Stegostoma tigrinum: one gene and its partner. The protein of the gene in region 2 binds, or shares a complex with, the protein of the main gene of each other region. Links are inferred from orthologs where the notes say so. Each region holds a gene or a part of one and is shown on either strand. Other genes may lie near its edges. The genes, in order: rtraf and zbtb8os.

The links.
Region 1: zbtb8os (region 2) and rtraf share a complex: the UniProt entries of both Homo sapiens proteins name them as parts of the tRNA-splicing ligase complex. The link is inferred for Stegostoma tigrinum from reciprocal best matches to the Homo sapiens genes ZBTB8OS and RTRAF.

The regions. Positions count from the first base shown.
Region 1 is NC_081363.1:45,472,056-45,484,128, reverse strand, and holds the start of rtraf (RNA transcription, translation and transport factor protein), read right to left. Parts: upstream 5,939-12,073; 5' UTR 5,832-5,938; coding exon 5,771-5,831; intron 4,433-5,770; coding exon 4,308-4,432; intron 579-4,307; coding exon 479-578; intron 1-478. UniProt on the Homo sapiens protein: RNA-binding protein involved in modulation of mRNA transcription by Polymerase II. Component of the tRNA-splicing ligase complex and is required for tRNA ligation.
Region 2 is NC_081377.1:45,045,308-45,058,188, forward strand, and holds the start of zbtb8os (protein archease), read right to left. Parts: upstream 5,667-12,881; 5' UTR 5,619-5,666; coding exon 5,537-5,618; intron 4,727-5,536; coding exon 4,702-4,726; intron 3,530-4,701; coding exon 3,408-3,529; intron 1-3,407. Other genes in the region: iqcc (IQ domain-containing protein C), read left to right, coding at 5,736-5,804, 9,213-9,299, 10,811-10,954. UniProt on the Homo sapiens protein: Component of the tRNA-splicing ligase complex required to facilitate the enzymatic turnover of catalytic subunit RTCB. Together with DDX1, acts by facilitating the guanylylation of RTCB, a key intermediate step in tRNA ligation.

The DNA of each region.
Region 1 (12,073 bases), on a different chromosome or scaffold from region 2:
GTAAAATCTTTAATTACTGCATTGTGAGGACTCGAAGAATAGTAATGCTTGACTTCCAGCATGCTACCCCACTGAGGCACAACAATTGGTGGGAGAAAACAACTGGCTCTCTTTAGCTTCAGGCATTTTATTGGAGATACCACCTCTCCTATCAGACATCCGAGGACTTTTCAGTGTTATTCACATGCACAAGCTGTTCAGTCATGCAGGAATAATTAGAGTTGACATCAGGCTGATGAATTTTGAAATCCATAGTCGGTCAGCAACTTGATGCTGCCTAAACATTCTGTTGCAATGGTATATAATGACTATGTCAAATGAAAACTTATTCATCGAGTTATAAGCTGACATTATTAAAGACAAGAGGAAAATATAACGTAAACAAAAAAAGCCAATTTTAAAACACTGGAAATCATAGAAGGATAGATATGCCAATTATAAAATAGTTAGCAATATCAACTTGTTTAAAAACTCATACCATTGTCTGAGTATTCAAGTCTCACAGCCAGGCCGAGAAGCCAGTCAACATTTTCTTGCCTTTCTTGAGCCTTGAATGGGCAGTTTACATCTGCCAGATACTGAAAATATATAAGTCAGTTAAAAAAAGGATTAAGTTTACAAAAGGATTCATAACTGAAAATAAATTTTCATACAGATGTTAAGTGTGCAATGTTGACGGCTACAATAGATGATAGGAAATCTTGCATTATTAAAATACATTGGACTGTGACCATATTAACAATAAGAGCATCTACTCAAACGAAGAAACATACATTTCATGTCATTGTTCACAATTTATTATAATATTAGTATTTTATAGGAATAAAAAAAAGTGAATACACAATTTCATCTCCATTTTCAGACCAATTCTTGCTGTTTTTTCTGCAGGTAGTTCCAATTATAACCTCTCAGGCTGCGATCTTCCTTCCTATTTCCATCAATGTTTAACAACATTGGGGAGCTGTGAGAAGCACAGCAATATGGTAGATTGAGCCAGATTTACTTTAGGCTTAAGCCTGTAAATTTGCTGAGAAATTTCTACAACAAATTCCATTTCTAGAACACCTTTAAAGTAGTTAAATGGCCAATGAAACTTAATAAATGGACGAATTACATGAGATGAAATATTTAGATAATTGATCTGAAGCTTTATCTAAGACCCACGAAAAGAGGTGGATTTTAAGGCATGACTGAAAAAGGGTAGAGACACTTAGAGAAGAAATTTCAGAGTTGGTGACAAGTCACTGAAACTATAATAATTCACTATTAAAACAAAGAATATGCAACTTGACAGAATTGAAAAAAATTAACACGGTAATAGTCCCAGAGATGGCGAAGGGTGAGGTCACGGAGAGAGTAACCAAAGATGAAAATGTTCAAATCAAAATATTGCCAGATTTGAAGGCAATGTAGGTCAGCATGTACAGTGAGAATAGGTCAACCGGACATGGTGCAAATTAAGGTATAAGCAGAGTTTTGGACGAGTTCAAATTTCTAAAGGCTAGAAGATGGGAAGCTGAAGAACACTGGAATAGTCAAATATACAGGAAATAAAGGGACGGAAGAGCCGAGATAGTGAGTGGTGACATAGTTGGAATAAGGCTGTATTTGTGCTGCAGCAGGCCAACATCTCATTTCACAGTCAAACAGAATTCTAAAGTTGCAGCACTTTCGCTGAGCCTCTTTGCAATAAGACACTGACTATGATTTATTTTTAAACTCATGAAAACAAATAACAAATCAGTGATAGAAATGGGGGCAATTCTACAGGACAGGACAGAAAATTTAATTATTTTCATGTATTTCTCATAGACTCATGGGGACTCAAAAGTTCTGAGGAAGGGTCACCGGACCTGAAACATTAACACAGAACATAGAAAAGTACAGCACAGTACAGGCCCTTCGGCCCACCATGTTGGGCCGTGGATTAATCCTAATCCAAAACTAAAATAAAATAACCTACATTCCCCTCAATTCACTGCTGTCCATGTGCATGTCCAGCAGTCGCTTAAATGTCACTAATGACTCTGCTTCCACGACTACCACTGGCAAACTATTCCATGCGCTCACAACTCTCTGGGTGAAGAAACTCCCTCTGCCGTCTCCTCTATACCTTCCTCCTAACACTTTAAAACTATGACCCCTCGTGGCAGTCAATCCTGCTCTGGGGAAAAGTCTCTGGCTATCGACTCTATCCATGCCTCTTATTACCTTGTACACCTCGATCAGGTCACCTCTCTTCCTCCTTCTCTCCAGAGAGAAAAGTCCGAGCTCTTTCAACCTCTCCTCGTAACACAAGCCCTCCAGTCCAGGCAGCATCCTGGTAAACCTCCTTTGCACCCTCTCCAAAGCCTCCACATCTTTCCTATAATAGGGTGACCAGAACTGGACACAATATTCCAAGTGTGGTCTCATCAGGGTTTTGTACAGCTGCAGCATAACCTCACGGCTCTTAAAAACTCGATCCCTCTGTTAATGAAAGCCTTTATGAATGAGCCTGCCGTGGGGAGCCTTATCAAATGCCTTGCTGAAGTCCACGTGCACCACATCCACTGCTCGACCCTCGTCAACCTGTCTCATGACCTACTCAAAGAACTCAATAAGATTTGTGAGGCATGACCTGCCCCTCACAAAGCTATGCTGACTCCCTTTTATCACGCTATGCTTTTCCAAACAGTCATAAGTCCTAACCCGCAGAATTCTTTTCAAAACCTTGCTGACCACAGACATAGCACTGATTTCCCTTCACAGATGCTGCCAGACCAGCAGGGCTTTTCCACCAACTTCTGTTTTTGTTTGGGACTCAAAAGTAATTGGCATTCAACTATAATTATGTCAGGACAGAAAAAAACTTGCATGAGATCAGAATATCTAAATTGCATTATGCCAATTAAGTACTTCTGAAGTTAATGATTACTGTAGTATAAGAATATGTGGCAGGCAACTGTTAGATCAAGGACTCTCAGGCAGGAATCAGCTAAATAAGATAATTAGTTTTTGTGGTTTTGGATGAGCAATGAAAATTTACCAGGGCACTAAAAGTGTCCACCTTCCTTTCAATAGGACCACAGAATCTTTGATATCAACCTAAGACGGCAGACAATGTCTTGGATTTACACCTCAGCCAAAAAAATGCATCGGCCTCTCAGCAGTGCACTGAAGAGTCTGTCTCGATTGTGCATTGCAGGTTCACGGAATGGGTTTTGAACAGAAGATTTTCTAGCTTGAGGGAAGGCCCTAATTTTGCACCAATGCACGAGAGAATAGAACAAAGTCTCAGAAAATTTTGAATAGCCAGAAAATTTGGGTTAAGGGAATCAGATATTGATTTTGAAGATTCTGCAAAAGTTGAAATGTATAAAAATTCCTTTTCTTGGCTTCAAGTAAAAAGAGATATAGATATCGGCTTGTTTAAAAAAAGGGAGATGTGGCATTTATGGGTAGAAGAACGCTGTCATCATTCCTTTTATTTGTCTGGGTCCAAGGGCTCACTTAATTTACACTGGTAGAGGAACAACTGCCAGTGAGAGTTAACAAGAAGCTACAGCTTTTAATCAAGCTAATTTATTGCATGATAGAAATTAGGTAGAGTTACACTTTGTTGCTAAGAATATTGGGAGATATAAATGACATCTGTCCCCTTCAAGATTCAGAGTTATTCACCCAATTACTCTACCCATTACATTATAGAAGAAATAAGATTTTTTTTCCCCCCAATACAGTCTTACAATAGGGAATCTTGGCAAAGTGATATTTGAGGCAGAGGGTTTAACGTTTAATACAGAGAAAGGTATTTAAACCTCATAGGAAAAAGGGCAAAAGAAGTGGGAATACAGCAGATAGTAAGAAAGCAGAATAGCTCCCCTTTCTACTGTAATCTGAAATATGCATCAATATATCTTAACATATTAAATAATACTTATTGTACAAAGAGGTACACAAGTACATCATTTAGTTGATATTCTTATCAAAACACAAGTCAAATGTTGAACACTGGCAACTAGCTGCAGAACTGACAACAGGCCTTGATATACAGTCAACAGGTAAGAATGAAATGACAGAAAAGGAAAAAGCAATTTCAATATCAACCATATTGTTCTGACTGTCCATGCATACCGATCTGTATCCTTCTCTTTCCCCACCCAAGCTATTTCCATCACTGTACACAGTTGTTTCCACAACAATGTTTGTAACAAGTTCATATTCAGGGACTGGAAGTACAAGTCACTAGTGAAACGATATGTGAATATATTATGTGCAAATATGATTAAACACATACAAAGCACATTATTCAAAATGAAACTCACCTTTTCAAAGTGTTTTGGCCATTCATTGCTGTGTACATTTCTCAGGTTGCCTCTCTCTTCAATTTTATAATGTCGTATCTTCTGGTCTTCAAGCCACACAATTAAATTTCTAAATTCCGTCTCATCTAGAATATAAAAAAATAACGATTTCAGACACATTTGTTTTAAAAAATGACAAACTGCATTCTACAAACCAAATGAATATACTAAATTAAACCTTATCACTAACATCTCAACCTCAAAAGGAGATTGATGTCCAGACTTAGATCTGCACATCAATGTACTAATTTTAATATCAAGGACTGGCACATTTAAGTCCAGTGTTGAAGCATCAGCAAAGCAGGCAAAACTTCCGTAACTCTCTATAAAATGTATATTTAGATTTAAGGCTTATATTCAGATTTTACAATATGTCTGACTTTAAATATTGTAAACCTGTGTTCAAGCTTCCTTCAGAAAACAATATTTATCAGTCAACTTCTGCTCAGTTTTATGATTAATGCATTGTTCCATGCCTCAGTGAAAAAGTAAACTGCTAATTTGCTTAGTTTAATTTACCAGTTTCAAAAAGATTGAAACAAAATAGAAATGCTGAGCATAGTCAAGCTGTTTTTGGAGAATTACAATTTGATTCTATGCCCAAAATAGAAAAATAAAACTGAATGAAAGAATCTGATGTTTTTTAAAAAAGAGGCCTTGTAATTAAGTATTTTCCTCAACATTGTTAGTTATATGGTAAGGAAACAAATACATAATTCCAAAATGTGTCATCGTTCAAAAGAACAATTTAAACTGAGGGTTTCTGCACTGGTTCAAGCACAGACAAAAGTTCACATGGCCTCATACAAAAGACAGCAAGGTAATTCTCTGCTCCACACTCCTCCTTCAAATAACACAAGAGAAAATCTTGGTGTCTTAAGTGTTTGCAGAATTTTGTTGTGAAGTTGAATTTTATTGCAGAAACAATTAATCAATCATTCATATTCCTTTCAAGTATTCTGAAATTGTTTACTATACGTGAGTAACGAAGTGTGAAACCAACAAATGCTGGAGATCACAGCGGATCAAACAGCATCCACGGAGATGCAACTGAAAAGACGGAGAGAGCTCCTGTTCGATTCTCCTCTTCACCGACCAAAATCAGATTTTTCATTTGTCCGTAGCCTGTGGGAGCTTGCTATGCACAAAATGGCTGCCCCATTTAACCACACTATTAAGAGTAACAATAATTACACTTCAGCGATTTTTGGGCAGCATCTTGGCCACTGTTCCGGCACCGTGTTCAAACAGTGAGTTGTTTTTAATTCTGAAATGATGTTGAAAGGCAGCGTGGAATTACTGGGCCCGGCTCTGTGTCCAGCCGCAGGCCCTAACTAAGGTGTTGAGGGGTGGGTGCTGCCCGCCGACGGGCGCGGATTGCCCCGCACAGGCCCCAGTGAACGGTTGCCCGCTTCTCCCTGTACCTTTACAGTCAAACACGCTGCTGTTGTGATACTCAAGAGCCGACAGTTTCCTGCGGAACATCTTCGCCTCCACCACGTTACACAGTACCAACTCCCGCAAACCGGCCCGCAACGACAACGGCGTCACCGACTAAGGCCTACCCTCCTGCCGCGACGCGATTGCGTCACCACACCCCTCTGGCTAAAGCGCTCGCGCTCTTCGCCGCCGTGTGACGTCACACCCGCGGGTCTCCCAGAGCAACCGTGGAGTGGATGCTTCAACGAAACTTTATCTTTGAAGCGACCACCTCACTCGAGGAGCTTGTACTGTATACGGCACGAATCAGGCCTCACACCTCCCTACCCCCAGCGGGGGATGAAAAAAAACTTCTTAATTCAAGAACAGGTGAGGATGTGATGAAACAAAGAACTGCTGATGCTGGAAATCTGAAACAAGAACGGAGATAACACAGTGTGGGATTTTCAGAAGGTGATTTTGTGAAGAAGGGTCTCGGCCCTAAATGTTAGTTTTCCTGATCCTCTGATGCTGCTTGGCCTGCTGTGTTCATCCAGCTCCACATCTTGTTATCTCAGATTCTCCAGCATTTGCAGTTCCTACTACCTGTCTAACACAGTGTGGAGCTGAATGAACACAGCAGGCCAGGCAGCATCAGACGAGCAGGAAAGCTGACATTTCAGGCCAGGACCCTTCTTTGGGTCCATACTGTGTTATCTCTGACTCCAGCATCTGCAGTTCTTACAATCTCTGAAACAAGAACAGAAGTTGCTGGAGAAACTCCGCAGGTCTGCCAGTGTTTCTGGAGAGAGAAAGACAGAGTTGACGTTTCTGCCCCAGTGAAGCTTTAAAAGTTCTGCACAAATTCAGCCATCCAGACCTCCTGAGTTTCTCCAGCAATTTCTGTTTTTCGTTCGGGTGAGAATATCGATAACGCAATCACAAGGAACAATTGAAGTGACTCCAATGACCAGACCCACCCAAGCTCAAAATAGAATCAGGTTTGTGATTAAAAGGCAAAAGAGATGCTGTAGGTCAGAAACAAAAACAGAAGTTGCTGGAAAAGTTCAGCAGATCTGGCAGCATCTGTGAAGAGAAATCAGTTAGCATTTCAGGTCCAGTGACCCTTCCCAAAACTGATGGCAGCTAGGAAAATGTCAGTGTATATGCAGAAGATAGAGTGGGTAAGGAGTGAGTGATACGTGGACATAGAGCCCAAAGAGAGAAAAGAGCAGTTGGACAGACAAAGGAGTTGATGACCGTCTGACTAGGAACATAAATATCTTTTGATGGAGACTGTTAGTGGCTAACGATGCACAGTGTGTTATGGCAGACTGGTAACAAGGCCTAGTGTGTGGCGTAGGGGGCTAGGACATGAGAGAGTTCAGGGACCCACTACCCACTATGGACAGGACCAGTGCCAAATACAAGATTCCCTGCAGAGACTGCAGCAAACGTCCAACCATTCTACGGCTTCCTGAAGGTACACAAACTGGAAGTACCTCTTAAACCCACAGTCTCCCTGCCAGGCACGCCATCGCATAAATTAGCCTAGGAACTACAAAGGAGACTAAAACACCTCATCAGCAAGTCACCCCACTCAATTCACTCAACCCAGGAGTTCTTCAATTCCATCAAGGACATAAGAATAGATGATGACAAGACCATGGTATCATTTGATGTTATTACCCTTCTAACATTGATAGACATACCACTAACAAAAGAAACACTGGCAACACTACTAAAACAAGAACAAAACCCAAATGACAGCATCTCCACAGACAACATGCTGAAGCTACTGGACCTATGCCTTACCACCCACCACATTTTAATGGCTAAATATATGAACAGATCAATGGGACACCCATGGGATCAACTATCCCCGGACTAATAGCTGAAATGGTGATGCAGAGACTTGTAAGTATGGCCCTTCCACTAATTCAGCTAAAACTATGGATACGTTATGTGGACAACACCTTCGTTATTATTAAACAGACCAAACTAGAGGAGACATACAAAATAATAAACAACAGCCTCATCAGGATCAGATTCACCAGAGAAGAGGAGAAGAACAAACAGCTCCCATTCCTGGACATCGTGGTGGAATGCAGGACCAATGGGAAATTCCTAACAAAGCTACACAGGAAAGCCACACACAGAGACCAAGTACAAAATTTCAACAGCAACCACCCTAATACACATAAGCAAAGTTGCGTGAGAACATTATTTAAACGGGAACAACACACTGCAGCAGCACAGACTACGCCAAATGGATACCCGAAAAACTGGGCCAGATGATGCCTATTACATGAACAACACCAAGAAGATACTACGCATCCTGAAACACTCATCACGCTACCTTACATCAGGAACATCTCTGAACTGACCACAAGACTCCTACGACCACTGGGGATCAGAGTAGCACACAAACCCACATCAACCCTACCCCAACTGCTCACTCGGACCAAAGACCCACTACTCACAATGGACAGGACCAGTGCTGTAAACAAGATTCCCCGCAGAGACTGAGGCAAACATTACATTGGACAAACAGGAAGGAAATTAACCTCAAGGGTACACGAGCATCAACTGGCAACAAAAAGACACAACTAATACTCATCCATCTCCATCCATGTGGATAAGGAAAACCACCAGTTTGATTGGGACAACACCAGGATCCTGGGACAAGCAAAGCAGAGACAAGGAATTCCTAGAAGCCTGTTTCTCCTCTAAGAAAGCCATCAATAAACACATTGAGTGAGACCCCATATACACTCCATTGTGTGGGGAAACTGGAAGTGAGGTAATCCAGCTCAACAGACACGAGAATTTAAAAAGATAGGCGTGAACACAACAGCACTTCAATGGAGGCTGCATTGATGATGTTACCCAGCAGGGTAATGAAACGTCTGCTGAACAACGAACCAACTCAGTGAACCAACCAACCACAACATCCACAAACAAGCTACAAATCTACTCCAAAACCTTAGAAGCTCTATATTGAGCCCAGAGGGCTGCAAGGTTCCCAGGTGGAAAATAAGGTGTAGTAGTCATTTTGGAATCAAAATTTTAACTGTGTTCCTCTCCCCACAAATGCTGCTAAACCTGCTGAGTTTCTCCAAAACTTCATTTGTATTATAAAAATCCAGCATCTGCCATACTTTACTATTTTTTATTACCACATTTAGGGTCTCTGTAAAGGCTAGCCCTCACCTCAACTTTTTCTTACAAATTTAGGATAGATTGATAGTTTAATTTCAGTAACGCAATATCACCATATTGATTTACAATTCGTTTAAAATGATACTTTGATAAACAACTGTACACCACTCCCCAATGCCTCTTCTGTGTCAAGTATCTTACTTTTTTCTCTACTGTTTAAAAATGAACTTTTACTCACCATTGATTTTAGGCCATGGTTTTGGATTTTTCACCATATTTTTTCAAGTTCACAGCAGGAACTATTAACTATTAAACTGAGGCGGTCTTACTTCTTTATGGAGAGAAAAGAGAATCCTTGTTCCAGGCTCAGTTTTCCTGCCTGATGAGTTATTTCTTGTTGTAAATTGGACGGTTGAAAAGAAGATGTGATTCTCTTTCTTAATGCTTAATGTTGCAATCGAATGTTCGCTCACTCGCTTCCCCTTTTCCCCAGCTTACGCATTGCTGACACCTAATTGAACTATACCAAATGGCTGAGTTTTCAACTGCTTCACTGAATTTGGAATACTGTGTACAGTTCTGGTCGCCACATTACCAAAAGGATGTCGAAGCTTTGGAGAGGGTGCAGAGGAGGTTCACCAGGATGTTGCCTGTAATGGAGGGTGCTAGCTATGAAGAGGGGTTGAGTAGGTTAGGATTATTTACTTTAGAAAGATGGAGGTTGAGGGGGGCCCTGGTTGAGGGCTACAAAATCATGAGAGGTATAGACAGGGTGGATAGCAAGAAGCTTTTTCCCAGTGTGGGCGACTCAATTACTACGGGTCACGATTTCAAGGTGAGGGGGGAAACGTTTAAGGGAGATATACATGGAAAGTACGCAGAGGGTGGTGGATGCCTAGAACTTGTTGCCAGCGGAGGTGGTACAGGCAGGCACGATAGCATCATTTAAGATGTATCTAGACAGATACATGAATGGGCAGGGAGCAAAGGGATATTGATCCTTGGAAAACAGGCGACAGATTTAGATAGAGGATCTGGATTGGTGCAGGCTTGGAGGGCCGAAGGGCCTGTTCCTGTGCTGTAATTTTCTTTGTTCTTCGTTCCTTTAAAACCTTTTTCTCCTTTTGCTACAATGTAACAAAGTGGAAATTGCCTCGCCTGCAGGACTTCATCAATTGCCCCCAGTACTACCACTATATACAACACCCTTCGTTGTTTCTATTGGCTCTATTTGATTACTGAATTCACCATTTGCCAGTTGACAAGGAAAAGAAAGAAGAAATTACAATCACCTTGTGTGCTGAGACATCTCCATTTCCAATGGATTAAAAAAAATTGACATGCTAATGTTCCCAGCACTTCCTCCTGTGCTTCTCTCACCTGTGAGACCAGTGCAGGACCATAGAGTCATAAAGTCTCAGAGCTCTACAGCATGGAAATAGACCGTTTGGTTCAACTCATCCAAGCCGACCAGATAGCCTAAATTGATCTAGTCCCATTTGCCAGTATTTGGCCCATATCCCTCTAAACCCTTCCTATTCATATACCCATCCAGTTGCCTTTTAAATGTTGTAATTGTACTAGCCACCACCATTTCCTCTGGCAGCTCATTTCATATACGCATCACCACTGCATGATAAAGTTGGCCCTTAGATCCCTTTTATATCTTTCCTCACTCACCTTAAATCTATGCCCTCTAGTTTTGGACTTTGCTACCATGGGGAAAGGACTTCTGTATTCACCCTATTCATGCCACTCATGATTTTATAAACCTCTGTAGCACCGATCTGTGTGGGACACTGCAGGTTACAGGCCTCGATTCTGAAAAGTAACCCTATTCCACCACGCTCTGTCTCCTATCTTCAGGCCAGTTCCATATCAAAATTGGCACTTCTATATTCTATGCGATCTAACCTTGCTAACCAGTCTACCATGCAGAACCTTGTCGAACGCCTCACTGAAGTCCGTATAGATCAGGTCCACGGCCCTGCCTTCATCAATCCTCTTCATTATTTCTTCAAATTACTTAATTAAATTAGTGAAACATGATTTTCCACTCACAAAGCCATGCTGACTGACTCTACTCAGTCCTTGCCTTTCCAAATACGTGTAAATCCTGTCGCTCAGGATTTCTTACAACAACTTGCCCGCCACTCTTGTCAGGATCACCAGTCTATAATTCCCTGGCTTTTCCTTACCACGTATCTTAAATAGTGGCATCATATTGGCCAGCCTCCAGTCTTCTGGTCCCTCGCCTAAGGCTATCAATGAACAAATATCTCAGCAAGGGACCCAGCAATCATTTACCTAGCTTCCCACAAAATTGTAGAGTACACCTGATCAGGTCCAGGGGATTTATCCATCTTTATGCATTTTAAGACAGCCAGCACCTCCTCCTCTGTAATATGGACATTTTTCAATTTATTTCCCAAGTCCTCTAGCTTCCATATCCTTAATATTGATGCAAAATACTTATTTTGCCCCCCCCCCATCGCCTGTGGTTCCACACATAAGCGGCCTTGCTGAACTGTAAATGGCCCTGTTTTTCTCCCTAGTTACCCTTTTGACCTTAACACAGTTCCAGTTCACTCCCAAGTTTTCCACACTTTCTTTTAATGAGAGAAAGGAAAGATTTAAGTGATCTGAAAGCATTTTGGCTTTAAGCCACTCTCAGTTTTATTGTTCATTTTGACCTGTGAATTTAAGAGAACAAATTAATGGCTCGCTCAAAAAATTGCTATGCTTAGTGAGTTAATGTGTTTGTATCCATTTTTCTGATTTAAAATGGGCACAAGCTTAGAATCATTTCGGAAAAAAATGATTACAGATATAACAGATTGAGGAAAGAAAATAATTTAATAAAAAAAGACTCCCTTGTTCACTCCACACTGCCCTCCAACCCCACCACACCCGGCACCTTCCCCTGCAACTGCAGGAAGTGCTACACTTGCCCCCACACCTCCTCCCTCACCCCTATCCCAGGCCCCAAGATGACTTTCCATACTAAGCAGAGGTTCACCTGCACATCTGCTAATGTGGTATACTGTATCCATTGTACCCGGTATGGCTTCCTCTACATTGGTGAAACCAAGCAGAGGCTTGGGGACTGCTTTGCAGAACACCTCCGCTCGGTTCGCAATAAACAA
Region 2 (12,881 bases):
GTAATTGTACAAAGCACAAACTGTAGACTCTGAAAGAGGAAAATTAGGAGATCTTCAAGGGCATTAAGGCCTTGTTCATTTTCTACAGATTCCTGTATTTTACAATCAACAAATACTGAAAAAAGAACCTCGAAATGGTCAGTCACCAGGTAGTAACAAATATTTTCTGCAATCATAGCATTGATTTCTTGAGGTAGGAAGGTTGGAAATTCCATTCTGTGGCTGGTGTGAAGTGCCAGCTGCTAAAGGGAAGCACTGAGGGTGACTCAATCTTGTTGGAAACACCCAGCAAACTTTATGGATAGTTGTTCCCAGTAGGAACAGGAATCAATCCCCCAATAGTTCCAGTTGAACTATGCATGTGAACAAGGGACAAGAGTAGACAATTTAGTCCTTTGAGACTGCTTCATCATTCAATAAAATCATAGTTGATCAGGTTTTAACATCAACTATACATTCTTTTATACCTCTGATAATCTTTCAAACCCCTGTAGCCAAGAACCTACCTCTGCCTTAAAATATTTTAAGGATTCCACATCCAATGTCTTTTGAGGAAGGGAATTTGAAAACTCACCACCCTCCGAGAAAGAAACGTTTTAAATTATCACTGCTTTATTTTTAAACATGATCTAGTTATAGTTTCTTCCATAAGAAGAAATATCCCTTCAACAGCCACCTGGTTGGTCCCCTCTGGATCTTTTATGTTTTAATTAAGTCACTTCTGACTTTTCTAAATTCCAGAGGATGTAGACCTATCCTGTCTAGCCTTTCCTCATAAGCCTCATTCATTCCAGGTATTAGTAAACTTTCTTTGAACAGTTTCCAATCCATTAACATACGTCCATGAGTACAGTGACTAGTACCAGATACAGTACTCCAGATGCTGTCTCACCAGAGAGATGTCTAACTGAAGCATAACCTCTTTTATATTCAGTGCCCCTCACAACAAACCATAGTATTAGCTTTCCTGAATATTTGCTGTATCTGCATTCCATCCTTCTATGATTCATACACTAGGACAGCCAGGTTTCTCTGCATCCCAGATCTGCAAACTCTTATCATTCAAATAGTGCTTTTTTAAAAATTCTTTCTGCCAAACTGGATAACTTCACACTTTCCCACATTGCACTTCATTTATCAAATCTTTGCCCGCTCAAACTATCTATATCCCTTTGTAGGCTTCCTAACAGCTCAGTTTTCGACCTTTGTGTCTTCAGCACACCTTTGATTCCTTGATCCAAACGGCTTACATAACTGTAAGGAGTTGAAGCCCTAGCAACAATTCTTGTGGCACACCATTCATGGCAGCCTGCCAGTCTGAAAAAGATCCACAAATTCCTACTTTCATTTCCTGTTAGCAATATGCTCTTCACCTACACCACAAGTTACAGGTTGATTGATACAGATTGATTAAATACGATTTCTCTTTGAGAAAACCATGAGGGCTCCACCTGATTACCTTGAACAAGTGCCCGATTATAACATCTTAAATAACTTGAACACTTTCCCTATGACGGATATTAACTTAACAAGAACGCAGTATCCTGCTTTCCAACTCCCACCCTTTTTGAATAAAAGAGTTACATTAGTTATTTTCCATTCTAAACAAAACTATCCCTGAATCTACAGAGGTGTAGAACATTAGAACCAATGTATTAATATTTCACTGGTTACTTCTTTTAATACTCTCAGGATTTGGGACCTTGTTAAGTCATAGTTCCAATAATTTACTCAGTATTACTTCATTCGTAATTGTAATTTTGACTTCCTCCCACCTTTTCAACTCCTGATATACAGCCATTTCTGGGATGCTACTCGTGAAGATAGAAGAAAAATGTCTGATCAGAAAGTATAGCCTGCTGAAAACAGGCCTCGATCCAGTCCCAGGAACTAAGCATGTCCTGATTTTACAGCAAATATTTGTAACTGATTATCTTTAGCAAAATACCCTCAAGACAAGAAATTTTAATTGGAATCTCCTTATCAAAGCAGTAAGGCTACATTTCAACTTCCACACCTTCAATTAGCTGAATGCCTCTCTTCTGTATAACTAAGGAACCACACCTAAAGTATTCCAATGACTCTATTTGGAACAGGGCAGGGCAGTGAAAGACCCATTCAGCCAAACGTCAGCACACGCAACTATCTGCACAATTAACTGTTAAAGAATAGGTCAAAAATCAATATCTGCAGGGAGCGCCTCAATGAACTTTAAAATTTCTGAAGTAAACACAACATAGGATCAACAACTGCGTCACTGCTTGCCCAACCCACTGGCAGGAATTCAATCACAGTTAGAGTACACATCAGAGACAATGGGAACTGCAGATGCTGGAGAATCCAAGTTAACAAAGTGTGGAGTTGTATGAACACAGCAGGCCAAGCAGCATTTTAGGAGCACAAAAGCTGACGTTTCGGGCCTAGACCCTTCTTCGTCAGGGTCTAGGCCCAAAACATCATCTTTTGTGCTCCTAAGATGCTGTTTGGCCTGCAGCGTTAATCCAACTCCACACTTTGTTATCTCTAGAGTACACATCAAACTGGTTGCCACATTCTAACTGAGCAGGGAGATGGAGAATGGCAGACTGTTGAAATTATGGCAAAGTCTTTTGCTGATCTCAAAACAAATAAAACAAAGATTTATTTATCATATCAGCTTACTGCGTTAAGTTTTTGCATCAGAAAGTTTGCAGTGATTCAATTTATGACATTAGCTTATCTATCAGCTTAGCCCATTTGTTAGAACAGTACCCAATTATTTTAGTATTAACATTTTTAAAACAAATTTTTGTTATAATTTGCCATCAGGTAGGCAACTTGTTGCTACCCATTAATGGTAATGGAGACCAGGCATCAATTCCCATTGACTTCCTTTCTAATGAATGTACCCCACTGTTACTTTCTGTACTGATAAGCAATTGAGCAGGTACCAAGGACTCAATATGCAAGTGTGAACTGCCTCTAATTTTGTGGATTGACAGAGTCATAATGGCCATTACACTCCAGATCACCTTTCCACTTAATTGAATAGTGCTTATTAAATTAATATTTGATAAAAAATTCTCTTCTAACAAAAATTATTCTATTTTTCGAAAATTTATTTGATTGCACAGAGGATCAAGTGTACCAAGTTTAATACAGTGTTTCACATTTATCCTCTTCTCCAAACTTCATGGGTAGTAAATGTCTTGAGGCTCACACTTAAACCAAGTAAATTATGTCCTGTATCCTCATACCTTCATCTCAAAAAAATGTGAAACATGCAAAATAATCCATTTGGAACCAAAGAAATGATCTAACCGCCCTGACACTTGAGCATACTAGCCTAAAGAGGAATGTGTCACGGAAATGTTTTGTCTATTGAAAAATTATACATACAAACGTACACAGAACGTCACCATAGTTACCTTCAGCCTCTACTTCAATTGTTGTTAATGGCTGCACCGTTTCAATATCAGTCATATATCCAAACATAGCCATTACAACCTGTTCAAATGCCTCTTCTAATGTATCGCCCCATGAATGTAACCTGTAAAAAGTAGCAATTTCATGGACTTCAGCACTGGAAATTAACTGTTTCATAAATGTAACACACAGATTGCCAACTCTGTTATATTAATCACAAACTATGAAGTTAGTGGCTGTCAATTACTTTCAACTACAAATCCCAAAGGGTCAGCCAGACAGAAATCAGATCATAGAATGGTATGACAAAAGACTGCACAATAACAAAGCCTTTTTAAATTAATTTTGAAGGACAGTCACTACTGGAGATCTGGTTGATCTTTTAGGAGCTTGTGGAACAGAGGTGTATTTCTAACATTTACTGTTTGTATATCAGTTGATATAGCATACAAATAAGACGACTCAAACATTATACACAATATCTGCAAATTTTCCAATTACAATTAATAGGAACTAACTTGGGAAAAAAAGTGTATAACTGGTAATATATATTAATTTCTCCTACCGGTGTCAACAATTGCAAGGCCTGAAAATACTCCAATATTGATGTTTCTTAAAACATTTCCTTTACAGATCGTTCCAGTTTGCAAAGTTAAATTGCAATTATGGTGCATCTTGTGTTCCACAATTCAAGTAGAATATGCAGAACATCTTATATACATGTCATAAGATTAAAATCTCAGTCACAACACTAGATTGAATGTGTTCCTCATTTCAATAATCTTCCTGTAAGTAAACATAGTCCGACAAAGTTTTCAGACAGCCATTGATATTTTGGGAGAATTATAAAATTATTTTCCTGCAAAAAGTGAATACAGAATGTACAATTTGTTTAAACTTACAATAAATTTTGGAATTCCTAGCCCCATAATTTCATTACTATGATTGATAAAATTTAATTCTTTTTAAATTCAATTAAATAAAGTTTAAGTTGATGTGATGATTAAGCTTAACACTTTGAAGAAGGTAGCTTATATATACACTTTAAGAAAATAAGCTCAATAAAACCAACAGTTGATCTGGAACAAAAGCATTCAAATATTTGTTATGAGAAAGACGATACAACAAAATTCACATAGTGAGTCAATGTGGAATCCCAAAGTTGCAATAAAAGCTGGCATGAATCATAAAATTCAGATATTACAGGTTACTTCCCAAGTATCAAAGAACTGTGTATTCCAAATTGTTTTTAATAGCTAACTGTTTCCATAAAAAGTAGTTGTTTTAAGAACTTACTGTACATCTGCAGTGTGGTCCAAGTCTAAGAACAAATAAAAAATCAAAGTTACAGAAATTAAAAGCTGAAAATCATTTTTATAAACCTTGTCATTTTATAATACATGAGATTACAATGTACCGCGACTAAGATGACCCACTATATCAAAGAAAACAATGACACCGGCAGCTGTATTTGTTTAATTTACCCCACAACACTGGAAACAATTATGGATTATTTGCTCACTTCCTGCTGTCTTAATTGGTCACCGTGACTACGATTTATCTTGGTTGAGATTTTGCCCAGTGTTCTAGTGAAGATATCATACTTTACTGTCTGGTGATACACGGGAGGCTGAATGTTCTGGGTGGCGATTAGCACATTCTGCTTTTTACCTACTCAACAATTAAATGTGCGCTTTCCAGGTCAGGTGCTGGGCAGCATCGAGAAGCTAGAATAAATCACAAACCCCTTAACTTTTCCAGGTCCAGACCTAACTGCACCTTCCCATTTTTAACTCGGCTGCGAGCATCTGACAACATTTGTTTTTGATTCTTAACCAAACACAGAGAATGTTTGAGAAACTCAGCAGGTCTGGCAGCGTCTGTGAAAGAGAATTAATCAGTCAATGTGTAGAATTTTAGATCGGGGATTAGGCTTGATTCTTAACTTGAAGAGTCCAGCTAGACTCCACTCCCAACCCGATTACGTCTCAACCCTCTACACCCACAAGGCCCAGGCTCCTTCTCGCCACCATCCCTCCTCCCTCCACAGTCTGCCTGGGAACGTCCTCGGCTGGAACCTGGGGCCCGGTACTTCCGCCACAAAGGCGGCACTAGACGAAGCTGCACTCACATTCGTACTTCTTGCTGACGGGCGGATATTTCTCCTTCACCGCTTTCTGCGCCGCGGTCAGGGAATACTCCCGATCGTCCATCGACCCGCCGAGAGCCTCCTCTGCGCATGCCGACAGGACCGGGTCCCATCCCTCGCATCCCCGGATGGACTCACTGAGCGGCACCCGATTGGCTGAACAGACTGTCCGTCATCAACGATGAGGTCACCTCCTGCCCTTAGCAAGATGGCGGTGGGCGAGAAGAGCGACGGTTTGTGTCTTCTTCAGGTGAGTATAGCGTGTGACCTTTCAGCTTCAGTGGAGTCATTTGTCCCTTCAGTGAGATACACGAGGACTCTTAATGCCAGAAAGTCTGAATGCTGTCGATTGTCGAATATTGAAAACTTGTTTTATCATTGAAGCCAGGTGGTTACCATGGTAACAACTCAGTGCATTTCGAAGACTGGATTTTGTGAACCCCCTCCCTCTTTTAGGCTTGTCACAGTTCAATGTTTGAACAGAGAATGGATGTGATCTTACTGGAAAGGATGTAGAGGAGGTTCACCAGGAAGTTGCCTGGATTGGAGCCATTCTTCTCTGAAGGGGGGCTGAACAGGCTGGGGCTGTTATTCTCAGAGCATTGAAGGTTGAAGTGTGGGAACTGATTGAAATGTATGAAATCTTGAGGCGTAGAGACAGAATAAATAGGTCAAAACATTTCCCCTTTGTGGAGGGATCAATGACCAGAGGGCATAGATTTAAATTAAGAGGTAAGTGATTTGGGGGCACTTAGGAAGATTTTTGAAAAATCATAGATGAGAGGGATAGAATCATTGAAATTCACTGTTTAAAATGGTGATAGAGACAAGAGTCATCACAAAATTTAAGCATTTAAATGATTGCTTGAAGTGCTGTAACAAATAAGGCCTCAGGCCAAGTACTCCTCACAGCGCCAGGGACCTGGGTTTGATTCCAGCCTTGGGCAACTGTTTGTGTGGAGTTTGCACGTTCTCCCCGTATCTGCATGGGTTTCCTCCAGTTTCCTCCCACAGTCCAAAGATGTGCAGGTTAGGTAGATTGGCCGTGCTAAATTGTCCGTAGTGTTCAGGGAGGTGTAGATTTGGTGGGTTATAAGGGGATGGATCTAGGTGGGATGCCCTGAGGTTCGGTGTGGACTTGTTGGGCCAAAGGGCCTGCTTCCACACTGCAAGGATTCTTCTATTCTATTGTTCTACTATTCTACTGAAAAATGGGACTAGAGTAGATAGGTTTTGATGACTGGCTTGGACGAGATGAGTTGAAGGGCCTTTTTCCATGCTACAAAACTCTATATATCTGACTCACTCAATGTTGGAGTAGTTTTGCTTGCTTAATCTTTTAATATTTGATTTAATTTTATCATTGTTACATGTATTGAGAGACAGTGAAAGTATTGTTTTGCATGCGATACAGGCAAATCATATCTTACATAAGTACATCGAGATAACAGAAGTGAATGCTACAGAGAAGGTGCAGAGAAATATCAACTTTGATATATGAAATGTCCACGTAAAAATCTGCCAAAAAGCAAGAAAAAAGAAGCCGTTCTTGAATCTTTTGGTACATGTTTTCAAACTTCTATCTTCTGCTTGACGGAAGTGGGTGGAAGAAAGTATAACCAGGGTGGGATAGATTTTTGATTATGTTGGCTACCTTCCTGAGACAGTGGGAAGTACAGGCAGAGTCAATGGACAGCAGGCTAGTTCCTTGATGAACTGGGCTGCATTCACAATTCTGTAATTTTTTTGTAGTCTTGGTTAGAGCAGTTACCATGCTATGCTGTGATATATTTGGATAGGATGCATTCTTTTGGTGCATCTATAAAAATTGGTAAGAATTACAATGGACGTGCAAATTTCTTTAGCCTTCTGAGGAAGTAGGGGTGTTTATGTGCTTTCTTGACTGTAGCATCGACATGGATGGACCAGGACAGATTGATGGTTATATTCACTCCTTGGAAGTTGAAGCTCTTGACCATCCTCACCTCAGCACTACTGATACAGACAGGGTTGTATACTCCACTTTGCATCTTGAAGTCAATGACCAGCTCCTTAATTTTGCTGACATTGAGGGATAGATTGTTGTGTTTACACCATGCCACTAAGCTCTCTCTTTCTTGTTTAAGATCTGACTCACTATGATAGCGTCATTAGCAAACTTGTTAATAGATTTCAAGCAGAATTTGGCTGCGCAGCCTTGAGTGTATAAGGAGAATAGTAAGGCTCTGATTACACAGCCTTGCAGGGCACCAATGTTGAGGATTATTGTGAAGGAGGTGTTGTCGTCTGCCCTTATTGATTATAGTCAGTGAATCAGAGAGTTGAGGATCCTTTTGCAGAGGGAGGTACAGAGTCCTAAGAGTCTCAGAGTTTGAAGATGAACTTGGCTAGAAATATGATGTTGAAAGTGGAGTTGGGGTATGACTTAGGTGTCCTTGTTATCCAGATGTTCCAGTGTAGGGTCAAGGGAGATGGGAGATGCTGTGGACTGTTGCAGCAGTAAGTGAACTGTAGTATATCAAAGTAATCTGGGAGGCTGGAGTTATGTGTGCCATTTCTCACCCCTTGAAGCAATTCATAATGATGGCTATCAAAGCCACCAGTTGGTAGTCATTAAGACATGCTGCTTGATTTTTCTTTGGTGTCTGGATGATAGTGGTCTTCTTGAAGCAGATGGGAACCACAGATCATACAAAGGAGAGGTTAAAAATGTCAGCAAATACTCCCACCAGCTAGTCTGCACAGGATTTGCGTGCACAACTGGGAACTCCATCAGGCCAGTTGTTTTCACTGGGTTCCAGTGCCATGGGCACAGGTTTAAAAAGGCATAGAGCTTTGTGTAGAATGGGAACTGAAGTTGGGATTAGTTTAGAATGGTGTCATGGATGGCACAGATGTGATGGATCAAAGGCTGTGTTTGTGTGCAGTACTGTTCTATGAAGTAAATGCTGTCTTTTCCTGGAGACTGTAGAGATAATATCACTGAATTGGTAACTCAGGTCTGAGCTAATTCCCAGGGTTATAGATTCAAATTTTGTCATGACAGTTGGTGGAATATAAATTTAGTTAACAATTCTGAAATTGAAACCTAGGAGATGTTGAAATGAGCATTCGTTGACATTTTAAAACAAAAAAATCTCAGTGATGAAAATCTGCCAGCCTTATCTGTCTGGCCTACACGTGACTCCAGACCCACAGCAGTATGGTTAATTCTTAACTGTCATCTGAAATGGTCAATCAAGTTCTAGAGCAGTAAAGGATGTACATTAGATGTTGTGGTTGCCAATGAAATAATGAACAATGCACAATTAAGTCTGTTTTAATGTTCATAAACACATTTGTCCGTATGGCCCTTTGAATCTGCTCTGCTATTAAAGATGATCATTATATGATATAAAGTAGTGACTGAAGAGACTAGATATTGCCAAAACTATGAGCCCTGACAGTATTCCAGCTGAAGACCTGTGCTCTTAGCCACGTTGTTCCAGTACAGTATTGGCATCAACCTGACAGTGTGGAAGATTGCATGTGCCCAAAAAGCAAGTCAAATTAAACACAGCCACTTACAGTCTACTCTTGATCAATAGTGAGCGAAGGTAGGTGTTCTCAACAATGCTATCAAAGACATTTACTCAACAAAATCTGTTCACTGTTTCAGTTTGGAGTCTGTCCGGGCTATTCAGCTGCAGATCTCATTAAAACCATCGTTCAAACAAGGACAAAAGAGCTGAAGTACAAAGCTGAGGTGAGATTGACAACCCTTGACATAAAGACAGAATTTGACCAAGCATTGCTAAGGATACCTATGTCAGGCTTCTACCTATTGACTACAGCTCTGCCTTCAACACTATAATTTGAACCTAATCTCCAAACGCTGAGACCTAGGTCTCTGCCCTGCCCTCTGCAACTGGATCCTTGACTTCCTGACCCACAGAGGATGTCAGCGTGGATAGGCAACAGCACCTCCTTTAAGACAATCCTCAACGCTGGTCCCCTCAAGGCTGCGTACTCAGCCCCTTACTGTACTTCCTGTACACATGACCTTGGGGCCAAATTTTGTCTGAACTCCATCTATAAGTTCGCTGACCACACTACTGCTGTAGGCCAAATATCAAGCAATGACAAGATAGAATACAGGAGAGAGATAGAGTGCTTGGTGGCATGGTGTAAAGATAATCTGTCCATCGACATCAGCAAAGCTAAAGATCTGATCGTCGATTTCAAAAGCAAGGAGGAGGGCATGTCCCTGCCTACACCAATGTTGCTGAGGTGGAGTTGCTCGAGAGTGTCAAGTTTCTAGGAGTGATGATCGCTAACAATTTGTCCTAGACCACCCATGTTGATACCGTAGTCAAGAATGCACAATGACCCTTCCTCTTCCTCAGGAGGCTAAGGAAATTCAGTATGTCCTTAAGGAGTATGGAATGAACTGCCAAAGGAAGGGGTAGAGGGTGGTACAATTACAACATTTAAATGATACCTGGATGTGTATATGAATAGGAAGGGTTTAAGAGGAATTTGGGCCAAATGCTGGCAAATGGGACTAGATTAATTTAGGATATAGGATCTGTTTCCGTGCTATACATTTGACCCTTACCAACTTTTACAGATACACCATGTAAACATTCTAAGTGGATGTATCACAGCTTGGTACAGCCACTGTTCTGCCCAGGACTGAGAGAAACAGTGTTGTGAACACAGTCCAGTCCATCACACAAGCCAACCTTCCATCCACACTTCTCTTCCAACCTCTTCCATCAGGCAAAAGATACAAAAGGTTAAACATTTTTCCCCACAGATTCAAGAATAGCTTTTTTGCCACTGTTATTAGACTTCTAAAGTACAGGGGTAGATGAATAGGTCTGCGTGGGTTGCTGTTGGGGTATTGTGGACTTATTGGGCCGAATGGCCTGATTCCATACTGTAGTGATTCTATAATTCTATGATATAGGAGCTACTTGCTTAAAAAGTAATATTTTTTCATAAAAGTCAATATTTATTGAATTGTCAACATTTTTGTTAAGCACATCTGTTGTGAAAAATTAGTCAACAGAGCTGACTGTTATTTTAAAAGTCTTGCAATCATTTTCCTTTAACTTATTGGTAAATGGTCAATGTTCAGTGCAAGTGACAAGTTCTTTACATATTTCTACCAGTACAGTGGCTGGGGCTTTTGTTTATTTTAGAAAAAAACTCTTTGACATATAATTCTTGCTGTTACATGCATTTATTTTCTCCACTCTGTCCCCTTTCTAGGCTTGTGTTAGAGGTTATTTGGTGAGAAAAAGTTTCCAGCGTTTACGCCAAGACTATGAAAATATTGTAAAAGAAATCGAGGGAGATGTGCTCTTGTTGGAGTGGGATGGCAAGGTGTTACCAAGGCCTAAATTTAAGGAGCAGGTACCTTTCACTGGATAGCGAGTGTGTTAATTTCTGTATGTATGGCTATCTTTTTGAGTACCTTGCCTATCACAACATCTGATACAAATTTTAAGAAACAAAGCCAATCTTTTGCATTTTACAGATAACACTCTTCAGAAATATAAATGCTGAAGCCATAGCCTTTTCACAGCCAATTCAGCAATCTGATCCAAGCCCCACACAGCACTTAATCTTTGAATGAAGTTACTCAGTATATACCTTATATAAGATAGCCTTGATAAGTGGCACAAGCCTGTAGTTTAACAGAAAAATGATGCAGCTTTGAAATAATCAGATATCTGCCCAGCATCCACATTGGAGCAGCATAGAACTTAAACCTCAATACCTCTGTGTTCTTGCGGCGATCACTTAGGAAGTCTTTCCAAATTCTACCTCTCTTTCTTTCCTTCTACCCCACTCTCACTCAGCCACTCACCGTAGTTGTAACAGCAGCAAATTATTTCATTGAGTATCTTGAGTCATATTTATTCCTTAATCATCATCATGCTGTCTCCAGTTTGTTATTTCGTTGCTGTTTGTTTCTCTTGTTATGCTCAAGTTGACTCTTGCCTCCATTGAATTACAACAAGGCTTACCAATAAAGAAAAGTTCAGAGTGTGTGGTTTGCTTTGGGATATCCTGAACAGCATAATTTTTTGTGTTATGTCCTCCTTCTGTTCTGATGTAGCTGGAAAGAATCTTGAGAGCTTTACAGCTAACTACTTCAGTCTCTTTCAATCCCCCATTTGACTGAATGCTTTTCAGACCTTCTTCTGTTTCTTTGAGCTGTAAGCAATCCCTATCTACTGTTCTCCTGAGAACAGTTTTCCTTTAAGTCTATAAAGAAAAATATTTGTTTGAATCTAATTTATCCTTGCACAAGACTAAGCAACTTGGCTTTGCCACGTGCTGTTGTTTTAACTTCAGACCATATGTGGTTTCCTTTAGCACAGGCGTATTTTAGAGGTTTTCCATTTTTCATTTTTGGGGTTGCTCTGTCAATCTCAGTCAGATCCTGGACCAACATTATGAAGCACACTGATTTGAAATCTCCAACAGAGTTTCTAAATACCTTCCAGTCACAATCAATGGCATAACCACCACTGAATCCCCTACCATCAATACCTGGAGAATTCCTGTTGGCCAGAAACTTATCTAGACCAGCTAAAGAAACAATGTTTACAAAAGTGAGTCAGCAGCTGGGAAATCAGCAGCTAGTAACTCACCTACTGTTTCTTTGATGCTAGTCAATCACCAAAAAGTTACAAATCAAGAGTGTGGTGAAATGCTGTCCACTTGCCTGGATGTGTGCAGCTCCAACAACGTTTGTTTAAACTTGAACTCAACCAGGACAAAATAACTGACTTGATTTGCATTTCATCCACTGCGTTAGGCACTTACTGCTTCCAATATCTGTGCAAAGTGGCAGTGTATGTAGCAGCTACCATATTCATTGCTATAACTTGCCATGGTCCCTTTTGACAGCACCTTCCAAACCTGCAACCTTTTACAATTTAGGTGAACAAGATAAAGTGCATATGGGAACACCACCATTAGTAAGTTCCTCTCCACATCATGCACCACCCTGACTTGGAATATATCACCATTCTTTCATTGTCACTAGGTTAAAATCCTGGAACTCTGACCCCAACGGCATGGTTATGTTCTTCCATCACATGGACTACAGCACTTCAAGAAAGTGGCTCATCACCACCTTCTGAAGGACAATAAGGAACAGTCATAAAATGGTCAGGAATTGCCTCCTCACATCATCAAGATGGCAGCAGAGGAGGGCTCTTGTGCAGGAGCTCATCTGCTCTGACTACCTTTCTTTGTGTTCTCGTGTTTGTTGTTTTTCTTTACTTAGTTACATCCCTTTACTTACCGGTGAGGAATCCCAGCACGG